Linked DNA regions of Caenorhabditis elegans. The protein of the gene in region 1 purifies or fractionates together with the protein of each later gene. This does not show direct contact. Each region holds a gene or a part of one and is shown in the gene's direction. Other genes may lie near its edges. The genes, in order: gst-42, pgm-3, Y53F4B.39 and gst-10.

Region 1 (6,602 bases):
GGACAAGATAAATGCACTTATTGTTTATTATAACTGCTGATATTCAATTTCAGGGCGAACAACTGGCGCAGGAACTTGGAAGTCGGTGTTCATTTATGCAAATAAGTTCCAGTAGCTCTTCAGATGCAAAGAAAGTATTAACACAAATGATTATGTCCATCAACAAATCTGGTCCCACGCGAAATCGGAGAATGTCTAAAATTGCAAGGCAAGTATTTTAAATAACTCTCAAACTTATCCGAGAAATTTTTGCAAACATTTTTTAAAGCTGCTCAAAGTTTTTGCCAGGAAGTCAAAATTTAGTTTTCTAAACAAGAAAATATTGTAAGAAACTTTCAATATATGCCAAAATATTCTCAAAAATAGGCAGAAAGTTTGCCTTTATATTCATAAATAATACTAATATCAATATTAACGGAGCTACTTGATGTTTTGTTCTAACTTAATTGATATTAAAGGCCCCTGGAATTTCTTAATTTTTACTGAACAAGTTTACAATTAAGAACAAACAAGTACTTGAAGATGGTCACGAAAACTTAACAAAAAATATTGTTCACTTCTGCGAACAAGCTGGTAAACACCAAAATTCATTTTTTTTTGCAGCATTCTACGATCGAAATCATCCGACAAATCGGGAGAGAATATGATATTCGAGGCAGTGAATGAGAAAAAGAAAAATGGTAAAAAAGAAAAAGGAGAGAAAGTTGAAGATTCAAAAGTGTGCATCATAATGTAATGTGAGGAAATATGGAATGTCGTTTGATCTCAAATGGGAATAGATAATGCATTGTTTCGTATTATGGAAAAATTACTGAAACACAACTGTACTTAAATTTTAATGTTTCTTTTCTTGGTGAACTTTTCAGTTCTAGTCAGCTCCCCGAACCTCCCGGTAATTTTGAAATGTATGTTTCCAGTGAACTTGTGATATTGATGATAATTGGATTTTATAACAGTAGTTTGTGTATTTGTGTTTTATTAATTTTTGAGATTGGAATAAATAATTTGTAAATAAACATTTTCTCCACTATTACATTTTTGGATGAAATCTTAACTAAAAGAGGGATTCAAAAACAATTTGAAAATAGCATTTCGATGCTTGAAATGTGTAAAATTTTGCGCGGTAGTTCACTGTATTAATATTTTACAAGACTAAAAAAATCCATTAATCACTTTTTGCATATTACTTTACAGTCCAATTAGAAGAAAAGCTCAATACCAACTAATGAATAACCTAATGGAACATACTTTTTTCAAGAGTTTGTTGTATACTGTGAAGTTACAGCGTAGACATTGTTGAAGCAGCCAGACGGATGACATAGGATTGATCACTGAAAAATGACAGATTATCAAAAGACCAGTTTTTAGAACCAGCTTCATCCCAATCCCTAGTCGACTGATCTTTACCTCTCTTGCGTTTCGACTGATTCAGGTCAGAAATAGAAATGTCGTTGATGGGAACTTTTTTGAGAATACTCAATGGACAAATCGATGACGGATTTTAGGATCACAACGACGAGGGATTCAGAGACTTGCGAGGACAGCAGAGAACGGACAGACTAACATGGAAGGACATTTTGAAACGTTTTATAAATAGGACGGTTGATTTAAAAACAACAATTTATTGGACCAACTTGAGTGATAGTACAGATTGCAAGAAGTTGGTTTTTTAAATCATAAACGTGCTACATTGACGCACTGAGAAGAGACTGAGGGGAAAACAAAGGAGATGAAAGATCTATAGGGAGTGAAGGGGAGATCTTAAATAGAAAATACACCGGAAAATCAGAAGTTGACCCGAGCACGAAGACACGTTGATGAGAGAGGAGTTGGGAAGAAGAAAGGGCGTCGACGATCACTGTAAAAAGTTAATTAATATTAGTTCTGATTTTAACCCATAACCGCAAATATTTCTCATATTCACGAACTTACCTTATTGCGGTTGATCTCAGTGAGATAAAACGGAACTTTGTCACCAGTCCAAGACGTATTGTTTTCCACAAGATGAAGAAGACGCTCGTCCGTGATTTTCACAAAATCTGAAAAAGATATAATTAGTATTTTGATGTACCTAACACCTAGTTTCAACTTACCATCGATACGACGAGAAGTCGAGCTTTGAGAACGGGGACGTGGAACAATCGACTCTGATGAAATGATCCGCGTTCCGTCAATGCATTTCGACAAGATCTCTTTCAGCTCCAACTTGAGCTCCGGCGAAAAACGAACGTTGTTCACCACAATCACCGTGGCTTGGGTCTGGATCTCATTAATACGATCCACCAGATATGCTTTTAATGAACGTGTCTCAACGTCGTTTAAATTGAAAAATAGTTCCTGGATGCTCTCAATTTCATTTAAGCACATCAAAGTGCACTGTGTATTTTTATATTGTCTTTGAAAAAATGACTTGGGTACAGCTTGGGCAAGAGTTGGGAGCAGCCTCATAAAAAAAGTCGTGGGCTGCTTGTTCTCTCAAGGCATCGCCCAAGGCTTACCATAGTTTTGTCTACTTCTTCTTATTCCTTCTAATGTTTTTTGAATCTGCATTTCTCTCTTGGTCTACATATGATGTTGGTAATGTATAGTAGAAGACCACGTGTGTCTGCACAATTACACTATCTCTAGTGTTCTGCGTCTGCAATATACAACAACAAAACCATTTCGTCGACATACACCGTCCAATCTTATCAGTTAGTTCGACATCATTCCGTCTTTGACCCTTTTTGTTTATTTTTCAACTAGTCATTATCATCAGTTATTCTTTCTGAGAATTTACAAAATTATTTTCTGCTTGTAGACATGTCCAACCAAAAGCCAGTTCTGTATTCTTATTGGAGATCATCGTGCTCATGGAGAGTTCGCATCGGTTGGTATTTTAATTATATCAATTTTAACTAGCAAAAATGTTATTTTCAGCGCTTGCTTTGAAAAACGTGGACTACGAATACAAAACTGTCGACTTGCTGTCCGAAGAGGCTAAGGTAAGAGAAAATCAAGCGGTTCTTTAAATTATTTTAAAATTTAGAGCAAACTGAAAGAAATCAACCCAGCTGCAAAAGTACCAACATTTGTTGTGGATGGTCAAGTAATTACTGAAAGTCTTGCGATTATTGAGTATTTGGAAGAAACGCATCCAGACGTTCCACTTTTGCCAAAAGATCCAATCAAGAGAGCTCACGCTAGAGCTATTTCTCTTTTGGTAAGTTTTACGTATTTAGTTGGTTTTTTTCTTAACTTTATACTGCTATTGTTTTACAAAAACTGTAACAATTATGTTTTGAGGTTTACAGGTTGCTTCTGGAATTCAACCTCTTCACAATTTGAAGGTTCTTCAACTTTTGAATAAAAAAGAAGCAGGATTCGGAGGACAGGTTTAATTTCAGAATCTTCAATGTATGTTTTCAATTTTTAAAATTTCAGTTTGCCAAACAGTTTGTTGTCGAAGGTCTCACTGCTCTTGAAATTCTTCTAAAGCAACATTCTGGGAAGTATGCTGTCGGAGATGACGTCACGATTGCGGATCTCTCCATCCCGCCACTTATCTACTCAGCTAACCGGTATGATTATAGGGAGGGTCAGGGAATTTTGGACATAGATAACTTTTTGAGAAAATTTATTATGTTTTAGTAATCTATCCAGAATTTCAATGTATTAGTTTGACATTTTGCGTATTCAAAACCTCGAAAATTTGAACACCTTTTGGGTTACCCTCAAACAACACTGACCAATTTTTCATAGACAGTTACTGAATCATCTTAGCAAGTGATTTAAACGAAAACACATTCCTATTGAAAACAACATCCACTTGTGTGGCAACAACCTTTTTATCGGATTCCTGATTCAAACAAAATGTATTAGTCATTCAACAAACATGAATTGGAAGCGATGAGCGTTTAGGATGAGACATGAGAGATTCACAGATAACCATCAGAATAACCTCCCTTCCAAATCGTTCCGATCGCAATCAAACCGTCATTTCAGATTCAACCTCGATTTGTCGCCATACCCAACAGTGAATCGTATCAATGAGACTCTTGCTGATATCCCCGCCTTTATTGCCGCTCATCCTGATAATCAACCAGATACCGGACTCAATGCTTAGATTCTTATGAATGATTGCGTTATTGGATTGGACATACAAGAGTTAACTATTTGAGAATTAAAAAAAAATGTTTCTTTGTCTCTTAAATTAGCACAAAAGTAATAATAAATTTACAACAGAAAATGTCCGCGATATCCTAAAGCAAGTTGCTTTTTTTAACTTTGTAAACTAACTTTTCTCGTTTTCATACTGAGTGTTTTTTTTTCAAATAAATTAATTTCTTAAAAATATTTTGAACTTTATTCAAACGAAATATCCAATGGAAAATTTTTTAGTATGCGAGTTCCACTGATAACTTTTTTGCGTTCAAAAAAAATGTCCTGCTTTGAAGACAGAATTTTTGATGTTTACCTATTTAGAAGTATGTTTCGAAATTCAAGTTAAACAGTTGCAGACCGGAAGCCTCCAAAAGTCATTTTTTTGTCCTCCTCTTCATGACCAAACTCAATCCCTGGGGATTAGCATCTGAAAACCCAATCGGCAATGTTGTGTCATGGAAACTTTTAGAGAACTTTCGGAAGACTTCCGTGCAAAGAGAACGTGTTTTTACGGGCGAGGTTGGCATAGTCATAGTACTAGTTGGTTGCCACCCACAACACAAGCCGGCCTTTCGATTCATCAAAGTATCCGTTTTTTTCACTCTTCTCCTCCCGCATTCTCCCCCTCTTTTCTTTGTCAGTGTGGTCTGCAAAGTTCAATTTCCAACTTTTCTCATTTTCTCTATCTCTGGCTCGCTCTTCGCAGCTCCTTTTCTGCTTTTTTTGTCTTTATGCAACCAGAATCAAGAGGAAAAGAGTGACGAATTAGGTTTAATAAAGGGTGATGTTTGACAACTTTGTCAAAGTGTATACCTCCCGTTGTCAAGGCATTTTTAAGTTACGCCTGCACTGATAAAAATGCTATATATAAAAGAAAACACAACACATTTATTGATTTGAACATCAAATTATTTTGGAATCATTTTGTCAAGTGAAGTTACAAATTATTTGTACAATAAATTTCAAGTGTGCAATACTTCTCTCTTTTTCAATTGCTGGACAATACTTATGATTCATACTTTTCTCATAGTGTGAAATAAAAATGACGTTGGTTTGAAGTGAAAAGTTAACATTATTGAGAATCGGTTTTGTTGAGAAACTGTTGATGATATATTGCTGCTGCCTGGTTTTGGAAAAAACATCTTGTCCCGTTTTGCAATTAACTCACTTTTGTTATCAACAATTTTTTTTGCAGTTTTTTTTTCTCATCCAATACACTTTTTATTTGAAATGATTCAAATATTACTTAAAAGTTTTTCTTCTAATTTTTGGTATTATTTTAACTTTGAATTTTAGGGTACTTGTAAGCACATCAATTGTTTCAATTTTTACATGTTTAATTGAGTAAATTAGATATTCTCAGTACATACCTTTATATTCACAGTACATTTTTGATTTTTAATGCTCTAAAATTTCGTTGTCAAGATACACCATACGAACTCAGTTGACCTCCTTCTCGTCTCAATTTCTCATCATTCTTCCATTTTCGCTCACCTTTCCTCATTTTCTGCAGTCTTTTCTTAAGTGACTCTTTGAACAAACATAAAGGTTCCCGTCCTCCTGCGCAGTCGATCTAATAAGCTTTCGGAAGACTACCACTCATACAAATATAGCAGAGACTTAGTCTGAGAAAGAGGTTCGACATGGTACAGGTCAGTCAATGCAATGTCCACTGTTTCTCGATTTTTCTTGCAATATGCTGTGTTTTCTATTAAAACTATTACTCACTTCAATTTCAACTTACATTCGGAATTTTGCAATTGACGATTTTTTCCATTTGTGAATTGAAAGTATTTAAAAACACTATTTTGATGTTTTAAAAAGTAAAAATTGAAATATTAGAAACAAAAGTTTACTAACGTTTTATTTTTTCCAATTTTTTTGAGTAACCTAATTTTTTCAGTGTTATGACTGTTAACAAACTGCTTGAATATTTTGAAGTTAAAAAAACTTATTTTAGAATTAATATGTAGAAGTGATAAGCTTGCTTTAGTTCTTATCATTCATATATGGCAGAGTTCTTTTTTTTTGAAAAAAATACTGTCAAACAAATATTTGAGATTTATTACAAAACCTTCACGGAGTTATAATGTTTTTGAAACACTTTTAAGATGTGGATATTATGATTTTTTCTTCTGTTTTTCATGCCAAAAACGCTTTTTCTTTTACACTAGGTTATGTTCAGCAAACATTCTGTAAACCGCTTTTTCACAGAAATCATTGATACCGGACTCTCGACCACTATGCGAAATTGCATTCCAGTGATTTCATTTTTCATTTTATTTATTATCAGGCGGTTCGTTTCTAATTACGTTTTCATCATTCCTTTCTCTATGCTGTTCAATAATTGAATCAAATAGGAGACGATGAAGGGTTTTCCATTTTCTCTAAACCTCGCATGTTCAGTGATGCCTCTCTTCTTCCATCTTGTCCTTTTCTTGATAAACCCTTACTCCATC
Region 2 (7,448 bases), on another chromosome or scaffold:
GGATTAAGGTTGACTAAGAAGCTTGAAAATAAGGTGTCGCAGTCACATAAACGGTATTACGCAACTGTGTCACCTTATGGGTATCTTTTTTTCGACATGTCTATATATAATTTTCATTATTATAATTTTCAACGATTTCGCATTGTCGGAAATCCCATCAATTTTGCTATGTAACAAAAAATCATTACACCAATATATTCTATCAAACTATTCATAACTTTCAATACTCAATAATAATAATAATGTTCATATACACCAACTGCTCATATTCATTACCTTCCACATACATATTCTCAGGAGTCTGTGGATGTGAGGTGTGGTGCCTAATTATCATCTTCTTCTACGTCCAATGATATTCAAAATACCTACTCCCCATCTTCCAAACTTTATAAATATTCATCAAACTACCGTAGTAACTTGCGAAAATACGGGGAATAACAGAATAATATTATTTGGGAAAATACGGGGGAAAGGGGCGGAGTCGTTAGGCACCTGATGACGATAAATAAGATTGTGAAAGGTTTTGAGGAGATTTTGTAGAATTTTTACATGCAGAGGCCGATCTTTTTTGTACATTGGTTCAGTTTTTATTATGTATAGTGTATACAACAATTTCGGGATATCAGGGATTGATTATTAGGATTTTAACAATATACGGTATTAACGGGTATGCATTAATGATTTGGAACATAGCGGATTCTTTTCACTTGATACTGATCAACTCAAACACAGAAAACAACATAAAGATTACCGTAGAACACATTGATGCAGTTTTATGTTAATTTTAACACATTTCCGTTGCATTTCATTCAATCTTTCCTTTCCTATCTTTCTCATCGTCTTCAATCAGATTGATGTCAACAGGCGGTACTAACAATCTGTCTACTAATGAATTACTGTAATTCTCAATCATCTTCCTGAAGTTTAATTTAGTTTAGAAATCTGTATTTTTTGTGAATTCTAGGTGCTTTTCCATTCGAAATATTTTAAATACCTAAGAAATGTTTTTTGAAATTCCTGTTTTAGGATTGCAACGTCATTTTTTCAACTAAGAATGGCAGATGGTCCAATGGCAAAAAAGTTTCGAATCTGGAATCCCGCAGTTTCAGAAGTGTCTGAAAACCGGGAAGATCCTGGAACAAACCTACAGACTCAAGATGAAGAATCTCCAGACGAGACACCTCTTGATTGCACTTCCAAGACTGCACAAATTCAGTTTCCCCAAGTTTTTCAAGTAATATATCCAAGTACTGTACCAAATGCACAAATAATATTTTTCAGAATTATCTTCAACTTGCACCCCTAATGATTCGCCTTCAACAACAACGTCAAATGGAAGAGTTTGCACGCCGCCAATTCATTTCCACATTATGCCATGCTTCACCAGCACCGATTACTGTACCTCTTCCACGTGTCCAGCAACCCCGTGCAACCACATCAACCAGTTCCTCCTCTTCCACGTCATCAAGCTCTGGGGTTACTGTACCTTCTACAATGAACAATCCACTTGTGGCTAATGCTCTTGGCAGTTCTTTGGTTAATGAAAATTGTTGTGCTGTATGTGGAGCAGTTTTCAGGTAAATACTACAAAGCTCTTGGTTCTGGAATCCAATTTTCTTGATTTCAGACTGACTGGTGACTTAGTACAACATATGCGTAACAATCATCGAAAGAGCAAGTTCAAGAGAAAATCGGATCTTCGTCAATAAGAAACAAAATAACTTTTCCTTTTTTTTCTCCGAGAATTTTATTATTTAGCTACTTAATATTTATTATTTGTCTCAAAACGTTTTTCCAGTGATTTCTCTTTTTCTGTCTTTTCTCTTTCTTGCAATAATTTTTTTCCTAGAATTTCCTCTTTTCAATGAAAAATCTTATTGATATACTTTTTTTTCCAATTTTTTACAAGATGTGGTAGACCAATGCTGTTCTTCGAACAATTTTCATCGAGAAAGGAATAATTCTAGAAAAAATAATTTTAGTGGACGGATGATTCCAACTGAATTTTTTTCTAACAAAAATGAGTTTTCAGCCACAATAAGGCCTCAATCATGAATAGGCCTGAAAATTTCTACAGTGCTCATGATCGCTGTGAGACCCGGAACTCACGCAACAGTGCGCGCCTGGAAACCGTACCATCGAAATGTTAGTTCATTTTTTTTCCTAATTATACTTTTTAAAGAAACACCATATATTCCGTTCAGCTCTAAAAATTATTCAAAAGAGTAATAAAACTATACTAGAAAACTATTTTAGTATTTAGCGAAACTTTCTTAATCTGAATCATAAATTACGATCTACAAGTTTGATCTTTGTTTCCCGCGTCCTGTTAAACATTTTCCATGAGAAAATAAAACACATACAGCACCGACATTTTTCAATTCCATGTTCTTTTTTCAAAACATTGTTTCTGGTCTCAGTGTGAATATAATCATACCTTTTGTTTCCGCTTGTTATCAGTTGAACGTTTATTACTTCATCATCATTTTTCATTAACACGCCCTGTTATGATCAATATACTCGTTTATTTAACGTTTTTACTTTCTGGTGGGAAAGGAAAAACGCGTTTAGAACTCTTTTCCGCACAACGCTCCGAAATAACGTCTTGGGCGTTGTTTAGCGCCGTAAATCAACATGTAGTTTAGATTCATCTGATTTAATACATTTTATTGGTTCTGTCGACTTATTTCTCTACGTATTTAAAATTCGAAATCCAAATTTTTTTCAGAAATGGATCTCACTGTTCCAGTTGAATATTCACGTGCCGGTAACACAACTCACAGCGGTAATGTGCATGCCATTCAAGACGATGAGAAATTCTCGTATGGTACGACTAAAAATAAAATATTTTCTTTTATCATTTTCAAAGTTTGCTATTTCAGGAACTGCTGGATTCCGATTCAAGTCCGAGAAGCTTCCATTCATCGTCTTCCGGTGTGCTTACGTTGCGAGTCTTCGTGCGCGGCAGCTCAACTCAGCTATCGGAGTGATGATTACAGCTTCACACAATCCATCATGTGACAATGGTGTGAAATTAGTGGATCCAAGTGGCGATATGCTCAATGAGCAGTGGGAGGTTAGTGAAAATAAATAAAAAACGCACAGAAACCTTTTTTCTACAGATATACGCGACTGAAGTTGTGAATGCTACTGATGCCGAGCTCCCAGCCGCAGTTCGAGCTCTTGAAAAACAAATTTCAGTCGGAAAGACCCAACTTTCCCGTGTCGTTTGTGGTATGGACACACGTTGCTCTGGTCCTTGTCTGATGAATGCAGCAAGAGCCGGTGCAGCGTTATTCAATGTACAATTCGATGATATCGGTGTTGTGTCGACTCCAATGCTTCATTATGCTGTCAAGGCATTCAACGAGCCAAAATTCGCAGAGCCAACTCACGATGGATATTATTCTGCAATCGCCGATTCGTTCAAGAAGCTGTATGAAATAACTGAGGAACCCAAAGACTCGAGGTACGGTTCAGAGAAAAACTTGCCATTAAAAAAGTATTCTTCAGATATCAACCAAAAGTCATTGTCGATTGCGCAAACGGAGTCGGTGCTCCACGGTTCAGAAATCTTCTTGAGCGAATCCCATCATCACTTCTGGAAGTTGAATTTCGTAATGAATCGGAAGAACTGAATCAGGGATGTGGTGCCGATTTCGTTAAGATTTCGCAAAAGTTACCAGCAAACTTCTCACCGACAGCAGCAGAACCAAAATGTGCTTCATTTGATGGAGATGCCGATCGCTTGATGTACTTCCGTGCAAAGGCTTCAGAAAATTCGGAATCAAACGATGCTGAGCTGTTCGACGGTGACAAAATTGCAGTTCTGATTGTCACATACATTCGGGAGCAACTGAAGGTGATTTATTTCAAAATAATAGTTATCAAATTATGAATAAACTGAGTGTGAAGTTTTCAATGATGCATCATTCTAGGATTACGAAAATTCCACTCCGATGGAACGTCTCCGCCTTGGTATTGTTCAAACAGCATATGCGAATGGAAGTTCAACACGCTACATTCGTGAAAAGTTGGGTATTGAGCCAATTATTGTACCTACTGGAGTCAAGCATCTGCATGAAGCTGCTTCTGAGTTCGACATTGGAATTTATTTCGAGGCCAACGGACACGGAACTGTTGTTTTCAGCGAGATTTTCGACCGCATCATCAGAAGGTATAGGAGACTAAACAGCTTCATAAATTTCTTTTTTTTCAAATATAGAAATGAATTGTTTCAGAACTCCAACTGAATCATTACCTCTCCGTCGTCTAGCACTTTTCTCCCGTGTCATCAATGAAACTGTTGGGGATGCTTTTGCAGATTTGCTTGCCGTGGAAGCTGTTCTCCGTCACTATGGATGGTCTATGGATGACTGGGCCGAAAAACTGTATCGAGATGTTCCGAATGTGCAGATCAAAGTTCCAGTTATTGATCGTTCCATTTTCAAAACGACGAACGCCGAGCAAACTCTTGTGAAACCTGTTGGAATTCAAAAAATGATTGATACGGATGTTGCAAAGTACAATAATTCGAGAGCTTTCATCAGGTAATCTTATCTGAAGTTTTTGTTTCATATTCAAATCGATTTCAGACCATCTGGCACCGAGAACATTGTTCGCGTATACGCTGAAGCGGATACTGTTGAAAATACATTGCAACTCGGAAAATCTCTCGAACAAGTCGTTCTCAACCTTTGCAACTCGAACTGAAGAAAATAAATTCCATATGTAGTCTCGAGTTTTCACAATGTATTTTTATTCATCCCTTCAGTTTAGTCATTTTCAGCATAATCTCCCAAAGTTTTTTTTAAATTTTTCCCTTTCATATTCCCATATTTATTTGTTAAAATTCATTTATGAGTTTCTACTGGTTTCCCCATTTCCCTATATCAACTTTCAACGGTTTTAAAGTAAATTCCTGGTTTCATTAAAACACATCATTGGCCCTTTCCCCTATGCTTTAAAATATATTGAAAAATTGTGATAACTAGATAACAGAGTGATGACGAATTGAAGATTCTCGTTTTGAGACTTCATCTTGAGTAAAAATGAATGTTTCGATATAAAATCATGGGTATTCTAGCTCGTTGTTCAATAAGAAGTCTACAATTTCTTTTGTACTTTCGTTATGAAATTTTCGTTTGTGGAAATTTCCATGGAAACATTTTCCTAATTTTAAGACCGCAAAACAAATTTTCAATCGATTTAAAAATGTCGTCGGATGGTGAGCAGGATGAAGAAAATCCGATCCTAGCACGGCATCGGCGTGAAAAGAAAGAGTTGAGAGGTAATTTTGACATTAAAAGAGAAAAATATTTCAAGTAGACTTGAAATGTACAACCAAACATTTTTTTTGATCTACCCGCCAATACTGAAAACTATGCGGATGTTTTTTAAATGTTCTTGATAGTTTTCAATCAACCAGTTCCGTAGTCTTTCACTTACTTCTTCGCATTTTTCTACAAATTCCCATTATTCATTATGTCGGGCACACCAAAACGAAACAGAACCTATTTGGCCCCGGATGATGAACATACTCCCACTAAAAAGAGGGAATCATCACCAAAATCACGCCAGTCGAAATCCACGTCACCACTCGATCGATTAAAACAACTTCCAGGAAAAATATTGGCAAAGAAGAAGGCGGCAAAATGCGGGAATAAGCAAATGCAAAAAGAGGCCGGTGCTGAGGTTGGTTTGATATAAAACTATTAAAAAAATGCCGAATATATGTCTTGTTTCAGTGCGAGAAAATGGAAAAAGAAATGGATGAACGTCACAAAAAGGAGCTCGAAGAAGCAAAGAAGCCAGAAGAATCGGAAGCCGTTCCTGCTGAAAATCCAGAAGCTTCTACATTATCACCACCTTCACCAAATCCAGAAGGATCGGATAATGATGGAGAAGGACCATCGTCGTCGGCATTCTACAAAACTGTGAAGATTTCAAACAAAGCTGCAAAAAAACAAGATAAAAAAAAGAAAACCGCTGACAAAATGAAGGCTGCCGAAGCAGCCGATAAGGAAGCGGGAAAAAATCAACTTTCGGATAGACAAATGGAGAAAGCAGCTGTTAAAGAGGTACGTTGAAATACACATTTTTAAAGCTTCGATTTCACAATCATTTCCAGATGCTCGCAGAAGATCACATGAAAATGATCGATATTCCAGCAGATGGTGATTGTATGTACAATGCAATTTCTCATCAACTTCAAGAAGAAGGAATCGAGATTTCTGTACGAAAACTTCGCAAGAGATGTGGTACTTATATGCGTGAGCACAGCGAAGATTTTCGGCCTTTCATTGAGGATATGGCAAATATGGATAGTGATTCTTCATGGGCAACATATCTCGGTGGAGTTGAAAATGTCGCTGAAATTGGTGGAGTATGGGGTGGAGAACTCGAGTTGAAGGCGTGTTCCATGATTTTTGAGAAGACTATTGTGGTGAGAATTTTGTTAATTTGAAAAAAATATAGAGAATCATGTTACTAGGTATAATAATTTCGCCACTATTTTCAGAAATTTATACGTTTTTATTGATTTTTGTAGATTTTCAGTACTTTGATTGAAAACAGACCCTTGCGCATACGATCAGACAAGAAATCATTGAAGTACTTATTTCAGGAAATTTCGAAACTACGATAATTCTGGAAACTTTTAGATACCGTTTTATAAGTGACCTTCCAGTGTTTTAAGGCGTTTACCCAATGACTAATCTGACATACGTGAAAACCATCACGTCCAGTTCTTATCACTTATGGTTCGGGTAGTCCCAATTTTTTGCATGATTTGTCCAAATTTTGTCATCAGAGTTCGCTATCAAAAATAGATTGCAAAAACTTTTTTATCAGACGTCACGTGACTTTCTGTTATTTTTATGCTCTTTGAGTCTTAATTAATTGGCGAAGTGTCAAATGGTAGTCTTTTTTAGGAAAAGAGCACAATTTTTGACATATCAGTTGTCTTGTTACTGAGAAAGTATTAAAAGAAACAAAATTCAGAGGTAATATTGAAAATAATTGATTTTTCAGGTCTACAAACAATACGGTGGCCGTCACACAATTGGCGAGGAATACTCGAGTCCAAAGGATCGAGCCCTCCGAGTTGTCTTCCTTCGACATGCTTACTCGCTTGGAGAACACTACAATTCTACGTGCCCGTATTGATTAGTTTGATTAAATTGTTTTGATAATCTCAATTGTTTTTTTTTATGTTCTTTCTAATTAATCACACCAATATTGATGAGATCTTTACATTTTAGGTGAATTTTTCTTGTTTTTTTCTCAGAAAATTTTCATCGAGAGCTCATATTTCAATTCTCCCGTTATTTTGTTGTTCTAATTCAAGGAATTTTTGAAGTTATACAAGAGTTTCAAATTTATGAATATTTAGAATTCTCCCCACATTTTGATGAAACTCCAATCAACACTAATTTTCAATATTTATT
Region 3 (10,874 bases), on another chromosome or scaffold:
TGTTAAATGTTTGTATTAATGTGGAGAACTTTCGTTATTGAGATTTGTAAAGAGACTATTAATAAGCACTAGGATTAAAATAGGAAGTTTAATTTAATTTATTACGATAGTAATATATTTGCCGAATAAATCGACATACTGATGATTTTTAGGATGTTTTAGGCTTAATTATTTAGCGATTCTTACTTTTCAATTGTTTTTCAAATAATATTTTCTATAAGAAGTACTCACTTTCCAAAAAATCGTCGTGTCTCCGCGATTTTCCTCGTTTCCCGTCGAATTTGTGCTGAAAATGGAATTTTTCATGGAATTTTGTGTATTTCATCAATAGAAAGGCATAATTTAAGAGAAATAACAAAAATTTCAATATAAAACAGCGAAAAAATGAGAAAAATCGACGAAAATCGGTATAAAATCAAATAAAAATGGAAGGAAAATATTCATCTCGTAAACCCACACTTGCGGCACGGTTTCGTGGGCGGGGCGTCTCTGGCGGGAAAATTCAGCGTTTGAAAACTCACATATAGGCATCCAATGAATTTTCGGATTTTAAAAATTAATATAAAATCAGGGAAATTTTTTTGAATTTTTTCACATCGATATTCGGCATCAGGGGCAAAATTAGAGTCAGAAACATATATTTCCCCACAAACTCTACTCCCCCTTTAAAACTTGCAGATCGGCAACGCGATCTCCCTAGTCCGAATGTTGTGCCAAGCGGCCCGCGAGAACGGCCTAACCCGTCAGGATCTATTCCCCCAAGTGAAAAAATACATGGACGACCTGGAATCCAATACCCGATCACTGATCTTCACGAATCGCCCCGACTGCCCAATTAACTCTACAAAAATGCACGCGGCGTATCGGCTCGGTTTGGTTAAAGAAATGTTCGAACGAGTCGCCGAGCATCGGAATTACACTAAAATGATGTGTGTCGAATTTAAAAGTCTTTTGATGAGATCGAAACTTCCTGAGGATCGAGTTCAAGTATTGGACTACTTCCATGGAATTATTCCAGCACTTACCTTATCTCATATTAATTATATGATGGCTCATGAGAATCGAGTGAAGAAAACGTATGCTCTGAAGCATAATAAGGATCTTGTCGTTACTGATGATGGTTTTGCGGCTGGTGTCGCGTTTTTGTTGCATATTTTTGATGGATGGGATTCGTTTTTCAAGTTGAACTGGTTTGATAGCTATGCTATGTGCGTTTTAAATTAATTTAATTATTTTGAAAAAAAAAAAAAAAAAAAACGTCTAAAATTTTGGAAAAAAATTAAAAATTATTAAATCGTTTTCAACTGAAAATTTCAAAAAAGTTAAAAAATTTATAAGTCCAGTCAAATTGGCAAATTGCCGGAATTGAACAGTTCCGGCAAATTGGCAATATTTAAAAATTTGCCGGTTTTAAATTCCGGCAATTAAAGATTTCTGGAATTGAAAATTTCCGGCAAATTATCGGAAAATTGTCCGATTGGAAATTTCTGGCAAATCAGCGAAACGGCATTTGGCGAAAATGAAATTTACCGGCAAATTTTTCGGGAAAAAACGGAAATTTCCGGCAAATCGGCAAAGTGCCGAAATTGAAACTTTTCGGTAAATCGCCAAAGTGCCGGAATTTATAATTTCCGTCAAATCATCGGCAAAATGCCGGAATTTATAATTTCCGGCAAATCGGCAAATTGCCGAAATTAAGAATTTCCGGCAAATAAGCAAATTGCCGGAATTTATAATTTCCGGCAAATAAGCAAATTGCCGGAATTTATCATTTCCGGCAAATCATAGGCAAACTGCCGGATTTGAAAATTTGCCGATTTTAAATTCCGGAGATTAAAGATTTCTGACAAATTTTCCAAATTGCCGAAATCGATTTCCGGAAAATCGAAAATTTGCCGAATTTTTTTCAGACAAATTTCTTAAAATCCCAGTTTTTTTTTTTAATTTTCGAGAAAAAAGCCTGAAATTGTATGAAATTTATTTTTTCTTACAATTAGAAAAATTTTAAAATAAGTTTTTTAACGAAAAAGCTTAAAAATTCTGTAAATCTTATAAAAGCACAGTTTTTTGTTGAAATTTTCAAAATTTTAAAATTCTGAAAAAAAATTTCTTAATATTTTGAACAGGAAATCTGGAAAATCTGAAGTTCTAAAAAAATTTACAAATTATTTTTTCGCCAATTTTCAAAAATTGCAATTTATACTTACTTTTCTTGGTAAAACCAATATTAAATTGCGGGAAGAAATGAGCTTTATAAAAAATTCCGAATTTCTCTCAAATTAGTAAAAATTCCAACAAAAAATGTTTTTTTGAAATTTTTGAAAACATTTTTTCAAAAATATTTTTTTTTTTAAATTCTCAATTCTACCTTCCTATTTTCAGCACAAAAGAGCACGAAATTCGTTCACAATCGGAAAGCCGCGAGTACAGTCAGGCAGTACAGTTGAAAATCGAACGACTTCAGACGGAGCTCAAAATTCTCACAAATTTCAAAATGAATTTCGGCATTCAGCACACCATTTTCACGATGAATTAGGTCAAACTACAGTATCCCCCCCCCCCCCCTCACAAATCGTTGCGGGACCCACATTTTTGCTCAAAATTTCATTTTTCTACCGTCTAACACTTGACTTTTTTTCCCCATAATACCGATTTGTTCGTTTCTGTTGTTATCAAATGCTACAGTCTAGCCACATTTTCTCATTTTACTCCCCTTATATTTGTAAAATTGTTTAGTTTGTTTTTTTTTCGCCTGGAAATCGATTTTTTTGCGAATAGTTGAAAAATTTTGGAAAATTTAGAAAAATTCAGAAATTTTAGTTTTTAGTAATTTTTTTAAAAACTTTTTCAGTCAAAAATACTGAAATTTCCGGAATTTCAAAAAAAAATTATAGAAAAGTTTCTTAAAATTATAGCGTTTTGTTGAAATTCCCGATAAAATTGGTAAATCCTGGAAATTCTAAAAATTAAATTTTTTATCCAAAAAATTCAGCTAAACAGAAAATTGTTTGAACTTTTTAATTAAAAATTCCCGATTTTACAGAAAAAGTCAAAAATTTTGAAAAATCGTGAAAATTCTAAAAATTCGATTTTTTTATCGAACATTTTTTTGAGAATCCCAAAAAAACTGAAAAAAATAAAAATTTTAATTAAAAATTTCAGATTTTAGCGAAAATTCTCAAAAATTTTGGAAAAATAGAAAAAATTTCAACTTTTTGATTAAAACTCCCAGATTTTTGCAAAAATTCTCAAAATTTTGGAAAAAAAACTGAATTTTTTCTCCAAAAAATCCTATTTTTGTTAAAATTCTCGAAATTTTTCGGAAAAATCCTAAAATTTCCAATTTTTATCCAAATTTCCATAAAAATCGATTTCCAGCGACTTTTTATCATTACCTAGTTTTTAGTTTTTTTTTGTTTTGAATATTTTTTTCTTTTTTTTCCTCAGCTCCCAATTTTTAAAAACTATTTTAATTTAATATCGTCAATCCTCTCCTGTCACCATTGTTAATGTTTTTTTTTGAAATTTTAATTAAATTTCTACCATTTTTAATCCATTTTTCTCTATCCGATCGATTTTCCATGAAAATTGGTCCTAAAACGACCTAATGACCTATATTTCTGAATCACCCAGAGGCGGGGGCGGAAACATAGATGAGTATCTCGTAATTCAGAACACGATGACGGCGTACGTTGGACGAGCCTGGACGATGCTTCGTTTTTATACGGATTTCGCATACGCCGGTGTTGCCTATTTGGTTAATTCAAAGGCACATAGGTTGGTTTGTAATTCGGGGTCTTGGCGCGAAAGTTTTTTTTTTCAAAATTTCGGCTTTTTGTGTCGATTTACGAGCTTTTCCAGGCTTTCTCGACGATTTTTTTTTTGAATTTTCATAATTTCGGTTTTGTGCCGATTTACGAGAATGACAAAGAAAATTAGGAATTTCAGCTCTTTGTGTAGTTTTACTAGCTCATTAATTCTTTGGTAAATTTTGCCTCTTTGTGTCGATGTACGAGCTTTTTCAGGATTTTTCCACGAATTTTTTTTTGATCTTTTTCCTGAATTTTCGAAATTTCGGTTTTCTGTCGATTTACGAGAATAGTAGAAAATTAGAAATTCCGGCTTTTTGTGTCGATTTACGAGCTTGTGTTCAGTTATTTTTTAAATTCAAGTCAAAATTTCGGATGCCAGTGTAGATTTACGAGCTCATTTTTTGGTGAATTCTGACTGCTTGTGTCGATTTACGAGGTTTTTTCTGACTTTTAGAAATTGTTGTGTTAATTGATAATATTTTTAAATTATTCAATTTTTAAATAAATAATTTAATTCCTAAATTCTGAAAAAAACCAGTGCTCGTAAATCGACACAGAGATGCGTAAATCTACAATGCCATGATTAAAAAAAAACTATTTTCCAGGATGTATGATATTGTTTCTCATGAATCTGAGAAAAATTGAAAAAAAATTCCGCTCGTAAATCGACATCCAGCTGCGTAAACCTACAATGATACCAAAATTTGTTCCCTAATAAAGACATTTTTTTTTCTGAATTTTCTCTGAATTTTTTAAGAAGACTACTTTTTTTTGAATATTTATTAGTTTTAGGGGGCTTTAAAAAATTTTTAACAAACATTGTAAATTGCCGATTTGCCGGAAATTTTCAATTCCGGCAATTTGCCGGTTTGCCGGAAATTTTCAATTCCGGCAATATACTGATTTGCCGGAAAATTTCAATTCCCGCAATTTGCCGATTTGCCGGAAATTTTCAATTCCGGCAATTTGCCTTTTTGCCGGAAATTTTCAATTCTGGCAATATACTGATTTGCCGGAAAATTTCAATTCCCGCAATTTGCCGATTTGCCGGAAATTTTCAATTCCGGCAATTTGCCTTTTTGCCGGAAATTTTCAATTCTGGCAATTTGCCGGTTTGCCGGAAATTTTCAATTCCCGCAATTTGCCGATTTGCCAGAAATTGCATTGTACTATACAATTGCATTATCAATACATTCTGACTTATCGCCCAAGTCACAAAATTGCAAAATTCCATTGGCTGACACCTAGAAATTGGCAAACATCATCATTTAAGTGTAGCCAACTGACTACAGTGTTCCGAAAATAAGGGAAATTTAGAAAGAGAGAGAGAGATAGACGAAACAAGTCACAGAACGATTATCGATCACTTTTCAGTTGGTTTTCTTTAATTCTTCATAGTTTCCCATTTGAAACAATGTCTCGAAATTCAGTAATTTTTCCGGAAAAAAAGTTAAATCAAATTGGTTGTAAAGTTTTGTATTATTTAAAAAAATTGTGCATTTATTAACAATCAGAACCTGTAAAAGTTGGCAAAAATTGAAAAAAAAGTCTCCGTAAATCGACAGCTAGCTGCGTAAAACAACACTGATTGGAGTAGATTTAGACTAGATTATGACTAGATTTAGGAATTAAAGAATTAAATTATTTAAAATATATCGAAATAACCGAAACTAAAACTGAAATCTATTGCGCAACATAATTGACGCGCAAAATATCTCGTTGCGAAAACTACAGTATCTCTTTAACTGACTAATGTAGCGCTGGTTTTGATTTTCGGGCAATTGCAGTTTCGAATTTACTCTGCAAAAAAAATCACAAATTTTGCATAAAGCACTACACTTTTTTCAAAACTTCTCTGAAAATCTCGAAATTCTTTTTTTCAGAGCCATGCCAAGCCTCACTCACGTGGAGCCCATCGAGAAGCTCTCCGACGCGGTCACCAGAATTCTCGGCCACAATCCCGGCCCCTTCACTCTTCAAGGAACTAATACATATCTACTGGGCACTGGTGCAAAGTAGGCAGCAATATTCTGAAAATTTTTAATTTCTAATCAAATTTTTTCTTTCAGAAAAATCCTCGTGGACACTGGTGAGCCGAACGTCACCGAGTACATTTCGGCACTGAAATCAGTTCTCGCATCTACGAATTCCCACATTGAATATATCGTTATTACGCATTGGCATGGCGATCATGTTGGTGGAATCGATAATATTACTGATGAGATTTTGGATAAAAAGAAGATACCTATTTATAAAATGAAACGGGACAAGGATGAGGGTGTCGAGAGATTTCATTATGTTGACGATGGGTTTGAGGTTGCAGTTGATGGAGCCACGCTGAAGTGAGCATTTATCATTAGAGAATTGGTTTTATTAGAAAAAAACCGTAGTAGTACTGTAGGGATACTGTAGTTCCGCTGTAGGTGCACTGTAGGTATGTACTGTAGCATTAAGGAGGACTAACGGTTCGGACGATTTTGACCGTATAGACCCAAAATGAGCTCAAATGAACGAATTTCGTAATGAAACTGCTCAAAACAATTTTCAAAAATTTTTTATGGCGTTTCAAAATTTTGAAAAAATTGAAAAAATGAATTATCGTCCTTTATTACATATATTGGTAATTAATCTCATTTAATTTCGTCGATTAAGGTACATTTAAAGCCGTTAGGTAACCAAAAATCATCGAAATTGGTTACCTATCGGCTTTAAATGTACTTTAATCCACGAAATTAAATGAGATTAATTGCCAATATATGCAATAAAGGACGATAATTCCAAAAAATCCAACTTCGGACAGATGTGACACGAAAAAATGGGAAAAACTCATGATTTTAGGTAAAATCAGTGTAATTTTTTCAAAATTTTGAACCGCCATAAAAAATGTTTGAAAATTGTTTTGAGCAGTTTCATTACGAAATTCGTTCATTTGAGCTCAATTTGGGTCTATACGTTCAAAATCGTTCGAACCGTTAGTCCTCCTTTAGTAGTACTATAGTGATAGTGTAGGGTTACTGTAGGTATATTATAGGAGTACTGTAATAGTGCCGTAGGGGCACTCTAGTAGTACTATATGGGTAGTGAAGGAGTTTTGTAGAGGTACTGTAGGTATATTTCGGTTGTACTGTAGTAGTATTATAGGGTTACTGTAGGAGTACTTCAGGGGTACTGTAGTGATATTGGGAGGGGTGGGTACTGAAGTAGTGATATTGGGGTACTGTAGTAGTACTGTATTTCTAGAAACAAATTAATTGTGTCTTTTTAAATGAGTAGTGTTGTAGGGGGTACTGCTAGAAATCGATTTTTTGTTGTGAAAATTTGGAAAAAATTGGAATTTTCTGAAATTTCAAATTAAATGCAATTTCAGTTACCATCTGTTATTTTTAAGAATTTTTGATTTTAAATTCCTTTGAAATTTTCTATATTATTTTTTTTTCCGGGACGATTTTTTAAATTCCTAATTTTTGTCGAAAATCTCCGAAAATAATAAGGAAAAAACCTTAACAATTAATGTTCCTCAAAAAATACCTTGAAATCTCAGTTTTTTGTTGAAATTCTCAAAAAAAAAAAGGATCCATATTTTTTTTCAAAAAGGAATTTATGAATACAAAATTTTTTGAACGTTTGTTCCAAAAAAATGTGTTAGTACAGTAGTGCCGTAATGGTAGCAATACTGTAGTAGTAGTAGTACTGTAGGGGTAATGTAGGGACATTGTAGTAGTATTATAGGGGTACTGTAGTGGTACTACGGAGGTACTGTAGAAGTTCCGAAGGTGTGCTGCATTAGTACTGTAGGGGTACAGTAGTACAGTAGTACTGTAAGTGTACTGGTACTATAGCTATTTTGTACGTGTACTGTAGGTATATTGTAGTTGCACTATAGTATTATTATAGGGGGTACTGTAGTGGTATTGTACAAGGCTGGGATTTTTTTTTGAATTTTTTTGCCATTGTAACGAAAAATTGATTTTTTTGTTTGTTTTTTTAAGACCGAAAAACCAAAAAAAAATGCATTTTTCACGGTAAAAAAATTAATTCAAGTATCAAATTTTTTGTTGGTTTTTTTTTGATTTTTCCCAAATTTCAATTTTTCTTGGTCCAAAATCAAAACGAAACACTTATTGTTTTTTGATCCCAGCCCTGAAACTGTGGTATTAACTGTAGTAGCATAGCTCTTTTTCAAAAAAATTGAATTGCCATGAGAAATTTTTTTTTGGAAATTTCAAGATATATCAATTTAGCCTTTCTTCGAGTTATTTTAAAAGTGGTGTAGTCGAATTTTTTTAAATTTCTTTATTGGACTCAAAATTGTCTGAAAACACCGAATTTCATAATGAAACTTCTTGAAAACTTTTCAAAAAAAAGTTATGGCCTCTTGAAAAATGGCCTAAAATTAGTGAAAATTTGAAATTTGACCGACTTATCATTGTCGCAGCGGCTGGAAACAATTTTTTTTTGAAATTGTCGTCTAATTTTGGGTATACAGGTCGATTATCTTGCATTTTCAGCTTTATTAAGGTATTTGAAAGTCGATGGACGAAGAGAATTGATGAAAAAAATTTGACAAATCTCTTCGTCCATCGACTTTCAAATACCTTAATAAAGCTGAAAACGCAAGATAATCGACCTGTATAGCCAAAATTAGACGACAATTTCAAAAAAAAATTGTTTCCAGCCGCTGCGACAATGATAAGTCGGTCAAATTTCAAATTTTCACTAATTTTAGGCCATTTTTCAAGAGGCCATAACTTTTTTTTGAAAAGTTTTCAAGAAGTTTCATTATGAAATTCGGTGTTTTCAGACAATTTTGAGTCCAATAAAGAAATTAAAAAAAATTCGACTACACCACCTTTAAAATAACTCGAAGAAAGGCTAAATTGATATATCTTGAAATTTCCAAAAAAAAATTTCTCATGGCAATTCAATTTTTTGAAAAAGAGCTATGCTACTACAGTTAATACCACAGTTTCAGGGCTGGGATCAAAAAACAAAAATTCGGTGTTTTCAGACAATTTTGAGTCCAATAAAGAAATTAAAAAAAATTCGACTACACCACCTTTAAGCTAGTCCATCTTTAAACATTAAATTTCCAGACTAATCGCCACTCCAGGCCACACCGCCGATCACTTCTCTCTGTGGCTCCAAGAGGAACGAGCATTGTTCAGTGGAGACTGCATCCTCGGCGAGGGAACTACCGTCTTCGAGGATCTTCATGACTATATGACTTCACTGCAAAAGATCAAGGATCTCAATGCGACAAGGATTTATCCGGGTCATGGTCCGGTTATCGATAAGGTCGTGGAGAAGGTTGACGAGTACATCGAGCACCGAATGAAACGAGAACGCGAGATTATCAAAGTGCTCAAAGAGCACGAGGAGATCACCAGTATGGATGTGACTAATCAGGTTTATGCTGACTCGCCGTGGGCTGTACGACTGGCTGCGTTGAACAATGTGAAGCTCGTGCTGAAGAAGCTTTGCAAGGATGGAGTCGTTGAGAATCCGCATTTTGAGACTTTCAAGTGGATTGGAGGCAGTAGTAGTGGAGAGGAGAAGAAGAATGAATCGTCGAATTTGTAGAAAAAAAAAATTATTTTTTGGAATTTTAAATATTTAATTCGCTCTTTATGTGTTTTCAAAATGTAGAATTTACGATGTTAATTCGAACTTTTCATAGATTAAATTTAAGTTTTAACCTACCTATATTTGAGAATTCCAAAAAATCTCGAAAATATTCATTTTTTAAATTCGAAAACCATATTTTTTCGAATTAAAAAATTCAAACTTCTGGAAAAAATTTGAAATTTTTAATTTTTTTTGTTTGATTTTTCAAAAAATTTCCGGAAAATTAATTTCAGTACCAATTTTTTCAAAATTTCGAGTATTTTTCGAATATCTCGAAGCGGATTTCGAATTTTGAAAATTAAGGAAATAATTTTTTTTATCTCCAAAATTTCCAAAAATTCAACCTTTTTTATCAAGGTTTCCCGTGTGTATAGGATACAATAGATATATAATAAATATTTTATTGTCAATCTGTTTTGCCTAATTTGTATATTTGGCCCACCAAACGGGTAATTCATACATGCTGAATTTAATAATAGAAATTTAGAAAATCAATCAAAAACTATTAAAAAGTGGCAAAAATGGCCAATTTATGGCAAAAAATCACAATTTGAAACTCCTCTAAAATGGTTATTTTTAAAGTTAGAGGACTCAAAATTGATTTGCATACACAACAAAATTTCCCTTTTTCAATTTTCAAAGGTTTCGAACGTTTTCAGAGAAAATTTTTTTTTTGCCCAAAAAAAAAGGCAAACACTCATTGACTACCTTCTCTTTGACTACCTTTGCTCATTGACTACCTTTTGCTCATTGACTACCTTTCGGCTCATTGACTACCTTCAGTTGCTCATTGACTACCTTTATCTAATTTTTCAGAATTTTCAGTTTTTTTCGCTAAAAAATCAGAATTTTCAAAAACATGTTACTTTTTGATGTCTAAGAAGGTCGTGCACTTTCTCATTTCCTGAAATTCCGGAAAAAATGGAGATGAGATCTGATGTATAAATGCTCATTGACTACCTTCAAATGCTCTTTGACTACCTCTATCTAATAAAATTTTCCAAAATTTATTTTTTTGAAAATTTTTCAAAATTTGATCAGATATTATAGAAAAGTGCAATTTTTGTCGTTTTTCTAGTTTGGATGTTCTGCACACTATTGCAGACGAAAACCTGAGGTAAAGTAGAACCCCTAAGCTCAAAAAACGCACTCACTTCGGATGCTGATATCTCCGTGGGAAAATTTTTAAGACAAAGTAATAAACTACAAAGTTGTATATCTTAATCTAAAGTACAAGGTAGTCAATGATATGAGGTAGTCAATGAGCAAAGGTAGTCAAGGCTGGGAGTGTGTTTAGAAGTGACCTTTGCAGTCCTCAATACCATTAGAGAAAAAGTAAAAGTCAATTTTCCTCACGTTATTAAAAATAAGAAAAAAAAAAAAGAAAAAAAAAACAATTTCTATCCCAATTCTTTTCAAAACTACAGTTTCGGCTCG
Region 4 (7,882 bases), on another chromosome or scaffold:
ATGAAGTATTGTCCATAATTACGTCTACTTGTATTCAATTGTTTAAATTGTTTACCAGTGCCATGACAAGAAATACAGCGGCCGACATCTCGTGAGCCCGTTTTTGACAACTTTTACTGATTCGGCCGTATCTAGAAAACTAATTTTTTCCTGGAAATGTTTTTGAAGTAAAATCATTTTCATACTACTTGTCATCATTTGTGTATATTACCTTTGTTCTAAAAATCCATAAAAAAAGTTATGAGAGATTAATATTGAATAGTGTACAACCACACATGGATCATTTCTCGCAAGTGATGAATTTTTTCCCTAAATCTTCATATCGTGTTTGAATATAGCTTAATTGTGATTAATTATCAAAAAATGATTGGTGCAGTGCCAAGTGAGCGTTTGCACTTCCATAACTTTTTTGCTGGATTTTTCAGAACAAAGTGAGTAAGCACAAATGATAACAAGTAGTATGCAGACTATTTTACTTCTAAAACATTTCCAGAAAAAAAAATTAGTTTTCGAGATACGGGCGAATCAGTAAAAGTTGTCAAAAACGGGCTCACGAGATGTCGGCCGCTGTATTTCTTGTCATGACACTGGTAAACAATTTAAACAGTTGAATACAAGTAGACGTAATTATGGACAATACTTCATTAGTTGAACTTTTTTTGATAGCATGCCCAGTTTTTAAGTTGTGTTTGTTTGAAAAATTTGTAAATTTATCGAAAATTGGATCTATTTTGGCCGGCACTGTATACTAAAGAAATATGTTACCATTGATATCGTAATTGCCAAATTTGCCATAATATCTTTTACTGTCAATCCCTGATTTTCAACGGTGGGCAACCAATACGGAAATGTACAATACAATATGCGATTAATATTCAAATCATACAAAGTTTCCAAACTCACTCTAAGGTAGCAAGTATTACGCTATACGTACATATTTTCAAATTAACTTACTTCAAACCGTCTGAAATTTCCTGACGAGAACCTATAGTATAAAACATTAGCCCTAATATGGCTCCACCAATAATGGACAGGAGAATCCAGAAAATAAGACGCCACCCTGAAAAGTATCGGAGGCGGCCTTCTCTGAAAAATATTGATTTACCATTCTTACACCCTAAAGTACTCCAAATCCGAATATTTATTAGAGCGCGCTTGCTACGCGTTTCTGCATCCGCCGTGTTTTGCCTTTCCACTGAAAATTGAAGATTTACCAAATTTTAAGCTTTAATAAATTTTTTCTGCATTTTACGAACAAACCTTTTGTTAAACAGTGAAAATCGTATTTAAAATGACTAAAATTAACTTTTTTCGTCCACTGGTTGAGAAATGGTTTGAAATTTAAAAAAAATCAACAGGATTTTTCTTATTTTCTAAATATTTTCCTATTGAAAATCGTTTTTAACACATTTTTGACTATAACTAGGATCGCAAATGTTTAGGGTCATTAATGTTTAAAACCCGATGTTTAATTGAAAAATATTTAGAAAATTAGAAAAATCCTGTTGATTTTTTTTTAACCTTTTCTCAACCAGTGGACGAAAAAATTTCATTTTAGTAATTTTAAATTCGATTTTCATTGTTTAACAAAAGGCTTGATCGTAAATGCAGAAAAAATTATTAAAGCTCAAAATTTGATAAATCTGAAAAATCTGCAATTTTCAGTGGAACGGCAAAACACCGCGGATGCAGAAACGCGAAACGTAGCAAGCGCGCTCTAATAATTATTCGATTTTGAGGAGAGCGTGCCCTAGTTTATTTGTTGATTTTCCTAGAATTTTCTATCAAAAGTAGAAGTGATGTTAATTGTATATGAAGCTTGAAAAATTGACTAATGATACAGTACCTTTGAACGGCAAAATAGCGATATATGAAGTTGATTGCTATAGCGTAAATACTTGTTCCAAAAAATGCCACTCCGGAAACTGAAAAAAATGATTAAAAAATCAAAATTGCTTCTTTTTAAATTTCAATTTAAAAGACAGTTCTCTCACCAACAGTGAACTTCAAGACATCTGGATGATTCTCTAGCATATTACTCTTCAAATCCACAAGAATAACTACAGTTGAGTCGTCATTAAACATGTACTGAAAGTAATCATTCAAAAAAAAAACGCTTCAACACTGACAACTTACGGGTGCTGCAACAAAATGAAATGCTGCATATGCAATTGACAAGCCTGAGCAGTATATCAGCAAATACTTGTAGCTTCCCATTTTCCGCGGTGAACTTGTAACTACAAGGGTAATCAGAATGAAATTTACCACAACAGACAGTACTGCGGCAATTGGCTGAGTTATTGATTTTATTAAGGAAAACGTTCTCATTTCCAAATGTGAAATTTAACCGGAGAAAGCCACGGAGCAAGTTATTTGGAGAAAGTGTTTCTGGAAGTTAGAAGTTATTTGAAATTTAAAAAAATAAAGAAAGCCGATTTGTTTCATATATATATAGAGTTTATAATTATAGTTTGCAATTTAGAAGAATGATTCATTTTATACTTCCTTGTTCCTTGTAATTGCAGTTTGTATATGATTCTCGTTTGATGTGTCGCAGGTGCTAAACTGCGTGTCTGGTTCTTCAAATTACACCTGCGACTGACCAAACGCAAATCATCTGTGTGATATCGACTTATAATATGCAGGGTGGTTTATCCGAAAATTTGGAGTATTAGAGCTTTGCGAGCCCAGAGGACAGGGAAACGTATTTTGTGCCAAGTATGACGATTTGGTCGAAAGAGCCCATCTGTGCATTGACCAGGAAACGGGCGGCGGCGAGGGCTCCAAAACAGGCTTCGCCCAGTTCCGACTCCTCTGAAGCGACTTCTTCAATTGTCTATAACAATGACACTGGACCACTCGAATTTATCGAAAGTACTTGATGGCCGAGATTTTTTGGTTGTGGAAGAGTTTTCTAGAACTGGTGACATAGAAATCTTTCATTTTTTCAATCAAAACTAATTTTTGATGAGTGATTTTAGATGCAAAACTAATAGAGGCGCCTTACTAATAGAGGATATACGGTATCCTATCCTATTTTCTCTATAATAGCGCTGCAAAAATAATGTTCCAATGCACCAATTAAAAACTAGTACTCAGTGTCCCCATTCAGGTTGTGTTTGTCAAAGTAAAATATTGTTTTCCCTCAATCTTTGATCGGTCTAGTTTCGTCGAAACACGCGTGTTTTTTTCTCTAAATCTCTTCATGCTTACCCATGTCTAATCTATGTTGATGACAATTCAAATTGGTATAAAAGTAGAGGCCATTAGACCTAAACGATAAGAGCTCGTACGATGGCCGTGCCACAACTTTACTACTTCACTATTCGAGGTAAGAAATTTTAAAGTTTTGCATTTTTGGAAAGCTCAATATTTTTCAGGATTCGGAGAATACATCCGTCTTCTGTTCCTCGACAATGGTATCAAATTCGAAGACATTCGGTTCGACTACGAGGGGAATGAATGGCAAGAGTTTAAAAAAGGAATGCTCCTTGGTCAGTTGCCATGCTTGAAGGTGGACGGGCAAGAGATTGTGCAGACTGGAGCAATTATGCGTCATTTGGGAAGAGTTCATGGTAAGGAGATTTGGCGGGAAATTCGAATTTTTTCAGGAAAGATTGTTGGCGGGATATTCAAATTTTCTCTGATAATATTTTGGGGGAAATTTCAATTTTTTCGGAAAACATTTAGTGGGAAATTCAAATTTTCACAACAGGAAGTATTTTTGGCGGGAAGTTAGAAAAATTTTCAGGTCAAATTTTTGAGGGAAATTCAATTATTCTGAGAAAAATATTTGGCGAAAATTTCAATTTTTTTCAGAAAACATTTCAAATTTTATAAGGATCAATTTTGGCGGGAAATTCAATATTTACGGAAAAAAAACAATTTAGCGGGATATTCAAATTTTTAGTACAAACAATTTCTGGCGGGGAACTCAAATTTTATGCAAAAAATTAGGCTAGAAATTCAACTTATCTCATAGTCAGAAAAAAAATAATTTTGCGGGAAATTCAAATTTTCTGAGATAAACATTTGGCAAAAATTTTATGTTTTTTAGAAAAAAAATTCCAGTTTATCGGGAAAACATTTGGCGAAAAATTTCAATTCTTTCAGAAAAAATACAATTTTGGCGGGATTATCTCTGAAAAATTTTAGCGCGGAATCCAAATATTTGAGGAAGATTTTCTTCAGTCAATTCAAATGTTCTGAAAAAAACTTTAAGCGGAAAAATACATTTTTCTTTAATTTTTTTTTTTCGTAATTTCAATTTTTCCAAAAAAAAAAAACTTTGCGACAAGAAATTCAAATTTTTGAGAAAGATTTTGGCGGGAACTTCAAATAATCTCATTGAAAACATTGGCGAGAAATTTTAGTTGATTCAGAAAATAATTTTGGTCGGAAATTACAATTTTCTGATAAAAATTTGGGCGGGAAATTAAAATTTTTCTATTTATATCATATATATATCAGGTTGTCCCATAAGTTTTTGTACTATTTTTTTTTTGAAAAAAATTTATTTCTCTCAAGCGACAAGTAGTACTATTCACACAAGTATTCACCATTAGTGTCCACCACTTGTTGCCATTTACTAGGTAACATCATGATGCCACGGGAGAAGAAATCCGGCGAACGCGATGAGAAGAAAGTGGAGAGTTCAGTTTTGAGATGCTCTTCGTCGTCGAATTGCTTGTCGCGCATGTAGTCACTGAGAGACAAGAACAAATGGTAGTCGGTTGGTGCAAGATCTGGAGAATATGGTGGATGCGGTAAAACAGTCCAACCAAGATCTTGCAGCTTCTGGAAAGTCTTCTTGGCGACATGAGGCCTAGCATTATCGTGAAGAAAATATAGTTTTTCATATTTTCCGTTGGTCTTTTCTGCAACTCGGTCCAATTGGGCACAATAGTAATCAGCAGTGATAGTTTTATTAGTTGGCAACAATTCCCAGTGCACGGGTCCTTGAACACCCCACCAGACACAGATCATAATCTTTTTTGGGTGAAGATCAGGCTTTGGCGTCGGTATTCCTTTCTCACCGATCGGAAGCCATTGACGTTTTCTGGAATGGTTAACATAGAGCACCCACTTCTCATCTCCAGTAACCAGATTGTTCAGCCAATCGAACTTTCGACGAAAAGTTAGAAGTTGAGTACAAACGTTGACCCGAGTGAGCTTCTGTGATGCCGAAAGTTCATGAGGCACCCAAATTCCAAGTTTTGAAGTAAAACCAAGGCGACCCAAGTGACGTGCAATTGTGCTATGACAACACTCAAGCTTCTCTTCCATTTCACGAAGACTAAGACGAGGCTCTTCCTCCACCAGCTTCACTAGGTCTTCTTCATTTAACTCTACCGGTCGCCCAGAACGTTCTATTTCTTCGAGACTGAAGTCGCCGTTCTTGAACTTTTGAAACCAACTCTTTGCTGTATTATAAGAGAGTGCTCCCTCACCCATCGCACCGCATATGTTTCGTTCCGCTTCCATTGCTGAATGACCAAGACGAAATTCATAAAGAAGAAGCAATCTAACGTCTCGACGTTCAAGTTTGATGATTGTCATCGTGGCAAAGTAGAAATGGATGAAATGAATTTTTTCTGAAAGGGGAAGACCCGACCTTGACACGACCTACGATGAAAAAATTTTTAAACTTTCTAGAAGTTTTGGAAAAATATTTGAAAAAAAGTACAAAAACTTATGGGACAACCTGATATATATAGTGTATTATGACGTCACAGATCTATTTTATGTAATTAAAAATTTCAGGCTTGAACGGATCCAACGAGCAAGAGGCAACCTTCCTCGACATGTTCTTCGAGGGAGTCCGCGATGTTCGTATGAAATACGTCCGTTACATTTACTACGACGAGGGAACCCGCGAGGATTGTGTCAACAAAACCATCCCGGAGGCTCTAGTGAAGTTGGAAGAGCTTTTCAAAGCTCATTCCGGAGACTTCATCATTGGAAACAAGATTAGTTATGCGGACTATATTCTCTTCGAGGAGTTGGACGTCTACCACGTTTTGGATGCGAATATCCTAGACAAATTCCCAACTCTGAAGTCGTTCTGGGAAAGAATGTGGAAGAGACCGAATTTGAACGCGTATCTCGAAAAGAGAAAGGCCGACAAAGTCTGGATCAACGCGATTGAGAAGGGAATGAACTGATTGCTTTAAAAATGCAAATGTTTTTTTTTTCGAATCTATGTTGACAAATAAATGGATATTATTTTAAAAAGCAACTTACGGGAGTAGCTTTTGTGAATTTTTTGCCCTATATATGAGAAAAAAATCTTCAAAAATTTATGGCGTTTTTCAAAAACTTTTATGCTTTTTTTTTCAATTTTCCAGACAATTAGAAAGGGCCAAGCTCTGGATATATTTTTATTTTTGTTTCTCAGTTTGGAGTTTTTGTCGTAGAGGCTCAAAATTAATGCAGTTCGAAAATTTATTTTTGAGAAGGCATTTTAATTTGCTCACCTGAATTAACAGTTTTTTGCAAAAAATTTTTTTTGGAATTTTGGTAGAATTCTTATCGGGTGCGGTAGATAATTTTTTTTAATACTATGGGTACGTTTCTGGGTCTAGAAATTCGATTTTGGCAACGCTACAGTCATATGCCTGTAAAAAATGAATTGGAAACCAAAACCCCTCTAGCGCGGCCAAAATCGAATATCTAGACCCAGAAACGTACCCATAATAATTAAAAAAAAATTATCTACCGCACCCGATAAGAATTCTACCAAAATTCCAAAATTTTTCTAGTTACCGAATCCGAAATCTAGTTAGTACCTGTTGAAATTGAATTCAAAGTAAAAACCCCTCTAGCGAGGCTGAAATTTAATTTCCAGGTCCAAAAACGTACCCATAATATTTAAAAAATTGCCTATTCAACGGCATATCAATTCTGCCAAAATTCCTAATTTTTTTCACCACTATTTTTTCCACAGGCACATACCCATTAAAATTGAATTCGAAATAAAAACCCCTCTAGCGCAGCAAAATCCTTGACTGAAGACTAAAGACTTGTTAACTAGATTTTTGTTCCGGTTTTAAAACAAAAAAGGAAGTGTCTTTTCACACCGGGCTCGACAAAATATGTTTAGCCGTGCTCAATAATTCAGAATGTATGTGGGTAGGACGAACTTTTCTGTCTCTTTTGGGATAGCGAAGTGTCGTTATTTTTGTTTCAAAAAGTTCTCAGAAACATTTTATTTCCGATTTTTTGAACCTTGTTTCAATCTAATTTGAGTGATTACATCACCAAAACTTAATAATGATGATCACAAAACGAATGATAAAAATCACATTTCTTATCAATGACACAATGAAGGCAAAGACTGTGCTCTCCTACGCCACATTCAGTTTCATAGCGCTGCTTTTGTTTTGCTATAAAACTAATAAAGTAAGTTTAAAATACAAATTTCAACATTTTCAAGTTTTTTTTTTCAGACAACTTATATCAAAAATCCTAAATTCAAAATTTTGGAAGCTTCAACGCCTGCGCTTCCAATTGATAAAGAATGCGAATGTATCTCAAGTTGGACTGGGAAATCTTATGATTTTTGTTATAGAAATCCAAAGGTTTTAAATAATGGAATTTTACATTTAAAAATTTAAAAATTAAAAAAAAGGATTTCAGAATGCTACACTTGTTGGAAAACGGTTCAATTGCACTTGGTTGAGCACTTTGGAGGATTTAAGTGAGTTTCCATGGCTCAGCGGAACTGTAGAAATACTGTAGGATTACGGTAGGATTACTGTAGGAATACTTTAGGATTACTGTAGTAATACTGTAGGACTACTGTAGAAATACTGTAGGACAACTATAAGACTACTGTAGGACTACTGTATAAGACTATAGCGATACTGTAGACCTACTGTAG

The links.
Region 2: the proteins of gst-42 (region 1) and pgm-3 fractionate together in Caenorhabditis elegans (co-fractionation; one large-scale study listed by BioGRID). This does not show direct contact.
Region 3: the proteins of gst-42 (region 1) and Y53F4B.39 fractionate together in Caenorhabditis elegans (co-fractionation; one large-scale study listed by BioGRID). This does not show direct contact.
Region 4: the proteins of gst-42 (region 1) and gst-10 fractionate together in Caenorhabditis elegans (co-fractionation; one large-scale study listed by BioGRID). This does not show direct contact.

What each region holds. Positions count from the first base shown.
Region 1 is NC_003284.9:11,723,997-11,730,598, reverse strand, and holds gst-42 (putative maleylacetoacetate isomerase), read left to right. Parts: upstream 1-2,662; 5' UTR 2,663-2,802; coding exon 2,803-2,869; intron 2,870-2,919; coding exon 2,920-2,984; intron 2,985-3,028; coding exon 3,029-3,202; intron 3,203-3,293; coding exon 3,294-3,374; intron 3,375-3,423; coding exon 3,424-3,560; intron 3,561-3,984; coding exon 3,985-4,105; 3' UTR 4,106-4,335; downstream 4,336-6,602. Other genes in the region: D1053.3 (Ras family protein), read left to right, coding at 54-208, 604-736; D1053.2 (Histone-lysine N-methyltransferase, H3 lysine-79 specific), read right to left, coding at 1,856-1,858, 1,933-2,039, 2,094-2,448.
Region 2 is NC_003282.8:8,722,994-8,730,441, forward strand, and holds pgm-3 (Phosphoacetylglucosamine mutase), read left to right. Parts: upstream 1-2,728; 5' UTR 2,729-2,730; coding exon 2,731-2,827; intron 2,828-2,882; coding exon 2,883-3,076; intron 3,077-3,122; coding exon 3,123-3,469; intron 3,470-3,513; coding exon 3,514-3,862; intron 3,863-3,938; coding exon 3,939-4,177; intron 4,178-4,241; coding exon 4,242-4,550; intron 4,551-4,595; coding exon 4,596-4,713; 3' UTR 4,714-5,067; downstream 5,068-7,448. Other genes in the region: F21D5.9 (C2H2-type domain-containing protein), read left to right, coding at 1,055-1,234, 1,282-1,577, 1,628-1,709; otub-3 (OTU domain-containing protein), read left to right, coding at 5,485-5,694, 5,748-6,080, 6,131-6,445, 7,033-7,167.
Region 3 is NC_003280.10:15,106,473-15,117,346, forward strand, and holds Y53F4B.39 (Beta-lactamase-like protein 2 homolog), read left to right. Parts: upstream 1-3,671; 5' UTR 3,672-3,679; coding exon 3,680-3,777; intron 3,778-5,695; coding exon 5,696-5,827; intron 5,828-5,881; coding exon 5,882-6,154; intron 6,155-8,905; coding exon 8,906-9,392; 3' UTR 9,393-9,847; downstream 9,848-10,874. Other genes in the region: wshc-4 (HEPN_LA2681 domain-containing protein), read left to right, coding at 679-1,208, 2,383-2,536.
Region 4 is NC_003283.11:2,558,412-2,566,293, forward strand, and holds gst-10 (Glutathione S-transferase P 10), read left to right. Parts: upstream 1-3,278; 5' UTR 3,279-3,294; coding exon 3,295-3,331; intron 3,332-3,380; coding exon 3,381-3,575; intron 3,576-5,763; coding exon 5,764-6,164; 3' UTR 6,165-6,234; downstream 6,235-7,882. Other genes in the region: str-154 (Serpentine receptor class r-10), read right to left, coding at 766-904, 955-1,086, 1,847-1,925, 1,995-2,088, 2,137-2,328; Y45G12C.1 (Nucleotid_trans domain-containing protein), read left to right, coding at 7,273-7,401, 7,449-7,580, 7,639-7,699. UniProt on the Caenorhabditis elegans protein: Conjugation of reduced glutathione to a wide number of exogenous and endogenous hydrophobic electrophiles. Responsible for approximately one-third of 4-hydroxy-2-nonenal conjugation.